Linked DNA regions of Macaca mulatta. The protein of the gene in region 2 interacts with the protein of the main gene of each other region in a pairwise test. Links are inferred from orthologs where the notes say so. Each region holds a gene or a part of one and is shown on either strand. Other genes may lie near its edges. The genes, in order: ZBTB5 and DCX.

Region 1 (3,560 bases), on a different chromosome or scaffold from region 2:
GGGAAGATTGCTGCTCTGCCAGCGCAGGCAGGTAGTCTTTGAGTGCTTATACAGGTGGCTGGACTGACTAAACCTCTTGCCACACTTCAGGCAGGCGTAGGGCTTTTCACCTGTATGAACACGGATGTGTTTCTTGCAATCTGTCAAAGTCAGAAAAGTTTTGCAGCAGATTTTGCAGGCATACTTGCGAGCTCCCTCTACAACCAAAACATTGTGCTCTGATAAGGCCTTCTTGCACTTTGACAGAACATCTGCAGATGCTCTGGTCAATTGTGGAGGGCCAGGCTGGGAAGGATGGCCATTTTCAAATGAGGATGTAGCTCCATTCATCATTAGCTGGGAACTGGTAGAGTTTTCTGGGATCTGTGAGCTCCTGACAGAAGTTACAACTGGCATTTTGGGAGCTATGCGGCGATAGTATGGAAAGTTACTGGCTCCTCCCCTTGGGGAACCTATCATTACCCTGGAGAAGGAGGAGTGGAGGCCCAAACCAGACCTGGAAAAGTCCATCCCAAACTGTTCTCCTCCTTGGTAGCCTGAAGTCTGCACACACGGCAGGCCCATCACCTCCTGCATAGGTCTGACAAAGTGGGAGTCTGCAGGTTCACTAAATGGGTTCTCTACATGGGAGCCAGGGGCAGAGGAGGGCCCACCTGCAGGCCCAGCCTCTGGACTCAACAAATAGGGGGCCTCACTCTCCAGCCTGCAGTCACTAGTGGTGTTTGGGATATTATCATCATTGTTCTGATTTGCAGTAAAGTTATTTCCTCTGCTCTTGTTAAGAAAATTTGAAATACTAAAAGTGGACTTATGCTCTAGGTTATTTGTGACCTCCAAAATGTGGATATCACCTACCCTGTCTGTGCTAGACTGGGGGTCTGAAAAACTCCGATCACTGCTTTCAGGGCTGAGGTCTATCTTCTCGGCACTGACCACAACTCCTTCCACTTCTACAGACTCGCTGCCTTCTGCTTGTGAGGTCACATCGCTCACTTCATCCTGAGGCTCAGGCGAGCTCAGGGGCTCAGATTTAACCACCACTCTCATGTGCTCCTTCTCACCAAGGCCAACCTCAGGATTTTCACACTGAAAACTACTTTTCTCAGTTGCAGCTTCCTGATCAAAACTAGTCTCAACCTGAGTTGCCCGAGAGGCCATGGACAACTGTGCCATGTTGCCAGCACTGTTATCAGACTGGCTGGGCACCTGGGCATCTTCTTGAGTGCCAAAAGACTGATCAAACATGATCGCACTGTCTTCCTGGTTATCAGTCATTCCATCAGCTTTAGGATTATCCACAATTTTCAGAGAATCTGGTGAAAAGAACTCCTCCCGAGAATGAACCCCCGAAGGCCCATTCTCCGGTGTAACATCTGAAATGGCAGACTCATCCATGGAGGGTCGGAGGCGCTGCCTGGCCCGCTCTTCTGCAGACTGCTTGCGCTTATGAAGGCGTCTCATGGGGAAGGGCGTGCGCTGATCCAGGTTATTGCGCATGGAAGAGCTCATGGGGGCTGGCTGCTCCTCGCCATTCTGGCTAGAATTGAGGGCTGAGCTCACAATACTTAGTCCCAGCTGCTGTAGCATAAAGGAGCGCTGCATGCGGGCACTCTGCTCCTGAACGCGCTCACTGGGGGGAGACATGGGCAGCGTCCTTGTCGTTAAGTAATGTTTACATGCCTTAACAACAGAGTTCAAATGCAGGTGAGAGGCTGCCAATAAGACATCCATAACATTGCTCTCCCCCAGCATGAGGGTGGAGGTATACATCATGTCAATCAGTGCAGCAAAGGCCTCTGCTGTCACCACCTCGCTATCCAGCTGGATCATGTTCATGGTCTGATCTCCTTCTGCCACTGAGAACAGGGCTCGGAAATGCGTGCTGCATGCCGCCAGCACGGAGCGGTGGGCTTTAAAGTGTCTATTCCCTACCACAATGACACAATCACAGAGCTGGCCATGAAGTCTCTGGTAGTTCAGCTGCTGGAAGATTTGTTCAAAGTGACCAGGAAAATCCATGATTCTACAGGAAAACAAAGAAAATGTTAAGACCTAGAAAAGCTTCAAAGTCAGAACACAAAGGGTATGATGAAAAGAGTGGAATGGATGGCCAAGCTTGGACCTTTGAAGCCTGTGATCTCTCTGATAATGGGCACATACACTAAGAGCTTGTCATATAAGGAGCAAATGCCAATTCAGCCATCAGCCCAGGAGGCATGCACACATGTGGGCCCAGCTACTGACAGGCTTCCCTTTACTCTTCATATGAGCCATGTATAACACTAAGGGGCTAAGTTAGTAAAGACCAGTGTGTGAGTGATGGATATCTATCCCACAGAAGTTTGTTAGAGTTTTGCATTCCCTAACGATGAGGAATGAATGCAAAGAAATTCCAAAATCTTAGGAACCTTAAATAAGTGAAAAGGGCAAATTAATATTAGTGTGGAAGATTTCCAGTTATAGAGGGTAGCAGATTGCACACATGCATTTGCCCCCTGTTCATTCTTGAAACCCCACTAAAATGACACTAAGCCAGGCGTGGTGGGTCACACCTGTAATCTCAGCACTTTGGGAGGCTGAGACGGGCAGATCACCTGAGGTCAGGAGTCCAAGACGAGCCTGACCAACATAGTGAAACTCCGTCTCTACTAAAAATACAAAAAAATTAGCCAGGCATGGCAGTGTGTACTTGTAATCCCAGGTACTCGGGAGGCTGAGGCAGGAGAATTGCTTGAACCCGGAAGGCGGAGGTTGCAGTGAGCTGAGATCATGCCACTGCACTCCCAGCCTGGGCGACAGAGCCAGACTTCATCTCAAAGAAAGAAAGAAAAAAAAAAAACACTGAAGTTTTTTGGTTTCGTTGTTGTTTTAAAGGTATACACCCACAAGAAAAACGAGAATGAGAAGAGCTTCAATAGCATTTTGGAAGCTGGGGAGCAGGTAAATCAGTGCTAACTGACTCAGCACACCCCAAAAGTGAAAATCCTAAACTGGCAGTGGATAAAACAACCTAACATATAAATCTCATTCCCAAAGGCCAAGGAACTGGTTGCCCTTGCCAGGGGAAATGGAATGAAGGTGTGGCTAAGGCAGGAGGCCTGGCTGAAAATCTATCCAATAGAAAAAACAAAAACAAAACAACCCTAGGCCAGATGCGGTGGCTCATGCCTGTAATCCTATAGCACTTTTGGAGGCTGTGGTGGGAGGACTGCCTGAGCTTAGGAGTTTGAGACCAGCCTGGGCAAGAAGGTGAAACTCTGTCTCTACCAAAAATACAAAAAATTAGCTGCGCATGGTGGTGTGTGCCTCTGGTCCCAGCTACTCAAGAGGCTGAAGGGGGAGGATCACTTGAGCCTGGGAGGCAGAGGTTGCAGTGAGCAGAGATCGCACCGCTGCACTCCAACCTGGGTGAGAGTGAAACCTGTCTCAAAAAAAAATTAGCTGAGTATGGTGGTGCGCACCTGTGGTCCCAGCTACTTGGGAGGCTGAGGTGGGAGGATCACTTGAGCCTGGGAAGTCAAGGCTTCTGTGAACTGTGACTGGGCCACTGCACTCTAGCC
Region 2 (3,824 bases):
ATTTGGTTAAGCGTATTTTAACCTGTATATGTCCCTGGCTAACAGCTAAAAAAATCTTGACATTTTATGAAACAATTGTTCCTTTTTAAATCTCAAATGTCAGTAAGGAGAAATTTATGCCAACTGAAAAGTATGCATTACCTATAGCTTATCATTCTGGTTATCTGCTTTTGTTTCTGTGGGAGCTATTTTACAACTCTGTAAATTGTAAATAACTGATAACAATCGAAAATTATCCTTATCTATAGAGATTCAAATTCTGAATTATCTAACGATGATATCACATCTCAGAGAAGGCAAAAATCTTGCTCAAACCACAAAGCCAGGAAGTGGCGTAGCTGGGACTTCTTAGAGAGTCATCTTCCTCTCCTCCTTCATATCTTACCCATCTCCACTTCCCAGCTTGGAATGGTCCTGAGTGAGGTGGAAGTGGAGAGGGGAAAATGGGTATAGCAAATCCAAACCTTAGCTAAGGTACTGTTTTGCCTGAGATCAACTTTGCCCTTACGGAATGTTCACTGAATGGATGCCTTGGACTAGGCTCTGAACAAACTCCCATGAAATGGGCTTGGTTATGTTACAACGCTTCAGGGTTGGAATCATGAGGAGGCTCTAGATACATTATCTGAGATGAGCGCAAACATTCTGGCAATTGCCATAAAGATTGTCTAGACTAGGGTTTGACTTCATTTATGTTCATGAACATCAGAATATAAATGAATATTCCAATTCTTTAAACTGAGAACACAATGTTAGATTGGTGGTAGGAAACAGAGGTTATTTGTAATTCTGATATCTGTCAAGCAAATTCCCCTCATACACCCAAATTAGTTACTCTGTTTATCATGTGGGTTGGAATAAATCCTCGTTTCTTTTTTTTTTCTTCCTTTCTTTTTTTTTTTTTTTTTTTAGTGAAGGAGTTATGAAAAAGCAAGAACAGATCTTGCCTGCCAAAGCCTGGGTTGGGGTCTATTATGTAATAACTCCCTTCAATTTGACAAATATTCATTGAATTCTAATGTATTCCTGTTATATCTCTGCTACCTTAGAGTCAGTGAGGTGCATATTTTGTAGAAGGGAAATTCTGTAGGTGGCATTCTGGAGATCAGTGATTTGACATATATTTAAACTGTGTAGTTATAGGTAGTTGTGTTCACCTGTGCTGGGTAACCAATTGGATGCAGTCTGCAAAGAGAATCTATTTACTTCAAGCTGACACCACCTGAGAATTTCTAACTGATGGGTTATATGGTGGTTTAAAAACAGATCTACAAATTCTTCAACACTCTTTCCTTTAATAAACAGAGTCTGGTTCCTCTCTCTTTGAATATAGGTTGGACTTAGTGACTGCTTCCAATGAATATGATAAAGGAGAAGTGACAGTGCTGGCTATGGAGACTAGATCACAAAAGGTAATACATCTTGTCTTTATTCGTTCTCTTGGATCACAAACTAAGGTGGGAGATCTTGCCAACAACCATATTGTAAGTGGATTCTACAGCCCCAGTTGAGCCTTCAGATGACTGCAGCTCCTACCATTATTTTAATGATATCCACATGAGAGACTCTGAGCAAGAACCACCTAGATAAAACACTCTAGAATTTCTTGCCCACCAGAACTGTGAGATAAAAAAAAATGGCTTTTTTAAGCCACTAAGTTTTGGGGTAATGAATTTGTTTCACAGCAAGATACAAGTAATACAGGTTAGAAATCCCAGAAATAGCTACTGCTGTTTCTAAGAAATGATTAGTTAAGCAATTATTGCCAGACTTTATTAATCTTGATCAAGTGTTTTAAAGTGTATTTTTTGCAAGTCTCTGCTTAAAAACTGTCCAACTTTATTGTCAGCCCAAGTGTTAAAACCTAGGTCTTTGTAGTTTTAACAATATGAATTTGCTTAGATATAGATTTATGTGCTCTTCTGTACATTTGAACAAGATAGCATCAAGGCACATGTATTTTTTATTTCTCCAGCAAACATTATCTAAATGCTTGATTGGTCTCTAGCACCATGTTGGGTAAAATAGGTACTGTTGTGCATCTATTTATTCACAAATATTACTGGAGCATCTACTAGGGGCCAGGCACTGTGCTCTGCACTGGTGATATGAAAATGAACCTACCACATTACCTTTGAGGGGCTCAGCATTTAATTGGGGAAGTAGACAGGTAAACACATACTTTACAACACAGTGTGGTGAATATTACCCCAAAGATATGAATGGCATGCTATGGTATTGCAGACACTGGAACAATTATCTCTATGTGAGGTCTTGAAGGATGAATAGGAGCTTTCAAGCAAAAAAGGCTGATGGGTTAGAGGAATGGCATTCCAGGTATGGGGGAATAGGGAGTGCAAAGACATGGAAGTACTAAAAGCCTGGGCTGCCTTTTCATACCTCAATTTCCTCAACCCAAGAATAAAAAAATGACTGGTGATATGCATGCTCCTGGCAGCGTGAGGCAGGCAGTACAGGCTATTCATCTTGGCACAAGCATTTCAAAGCCATCAGGCTGCTCATGATGCCCCAAACTGAAGGGGCTTTTTGTTTTCCCAATGCTCTCAGACTGCAAGAATTCTCATGATAAACTCTGAGCCTTGGGATGACAAATGTATGTCTTTTGGAACATATAATTTCCTTAGTGTGAAGAACCTCAAATCGTGCATAAACCTAAGCTTCTGAACTTGGACTTCTGAGGCCTTTTATTGTTTATATTTGTATAAAAGAATGGAAGACATTGCCTCTTAGGTCAATGTCACTCAAACTGTGGGTCCAAGACAAGATAGGGTTCACATCAGAATGCAAATCAACATACTGCTGTCTTCATCAATAAAATCAGGCTCTGAAAAAAAGTCAGCTGAGCTAAATGGTTTGCTTAATGGCATAGTTTATTTACATTTGACACAAGCTCCTAATCTTGTCACAGACTGACTGGTAACAAATAGTTCATGGGTTGGCAGTGATCAATAGAGCACATGTTTTAGATAACTCACTATCCACTATATAAAATCTTCTATGGCAAATCTCTCTGTTTTCTGGTCTATGCTTTAATTTCCTATTGTGAGGTTTATACAATTTATGTTGTCTCCCTATATATATGGCATATATATATAGTGTACTTGTTTCCCTTTTTGTTTTGGCTTCTAATTACTTCAGAGTCAAATTTGAAGCTCAAGTGAGTCAACCATGTTGACACTTTGGGGTATTGTTTTTTATATTCTTTTTCTTGATTCTGATTTTTAGTTTCAGGTTTATGGTTAACTTGATTATTCAATTGAATATGTTTTTGCCACATGATGTTGAAGATGATGAAAATGATGACAACCATGACAGTAAGCATTACAGCAAGCATAGACAATGGGCCAGGTTTCTGGTTTGCATCCATTTGAGTGGAGTAATGGTTGTAGCTGTGCCTCCATGACTCCAAACAAGTTTGACTGTTTTAGTCCCTGAATTGACAGAATAGGGTTTCATGGAGACACAGTAGTGCTCATGAGGAACTGATTCCTCTGCATGCAGACAATATTGTCCTCCATAAATGAAATCAGCGTGCACAGTTAGGAAAAGAGCACTCACCGTCTTGGTCGTTACCTGAGTCAGCTGGAGACTTGCTTCGGCGCATAGGACCAGGGCTCTTGGCTGAACTCTTCTGAGGTGTTGGGGATGCCTTTGGGCCAGCTGTGGCTGATGGGTTTCCCTTCATGACTCGGCATTCTGGGGCCAAAGGACACAAACAGCTTAGTAGAGGGTAAAACAGGCTCAGCATGTTATCAGCCTCTGGAAACCGGAATAACCCCCACAGGCCAAAGGACCTAAATGGG

Evidence for each region.
Region 1: the proteins of DCX (region 2) and ZBTB5 interact in binary tests that used the Homo sapiens proteins (3 or more experiments, as listed by UniProt). The two-hybrid records come from large-scale screens. The link is inferred for Macaca mulatta from reciprocal best matches to the Homo sapiens genes DCX and ZBTB5.

What each region holds. Positions count from the first base shown.
Region 1 is NC_133420.1:62,173,038-62,176,597, reverse strand, and holds part of ZBTB5 (zinc finger and BTB domain-containing protein 5), read right to left. Parts: exon of another isoform or gene 2,024-3,560; 5' UTR 2,020-2,023; coding exon 1-2,019. UniProt on the Homo sapiens protein: May be involved in transcriptional regulation.
Region 2 is NC_133426.1:118,066,068-118,069,891, forward strand, and holds part of DCX (neuronal migration protein doublecortin), read right to left. Parts: intron 3,718-3,824; coding exon 3,595-3,717; coding exon of another isoform or gene 3,580-3,594; intron 1-3,579. UniProt on the Homo sapiens protein: Microtubule-associated protein required for initial steps of neuronal dispersion and cortex lamination during cerebral cortex development. May act by competing with the putative neuronal protein kinase DCLK1 in binding to a target protein.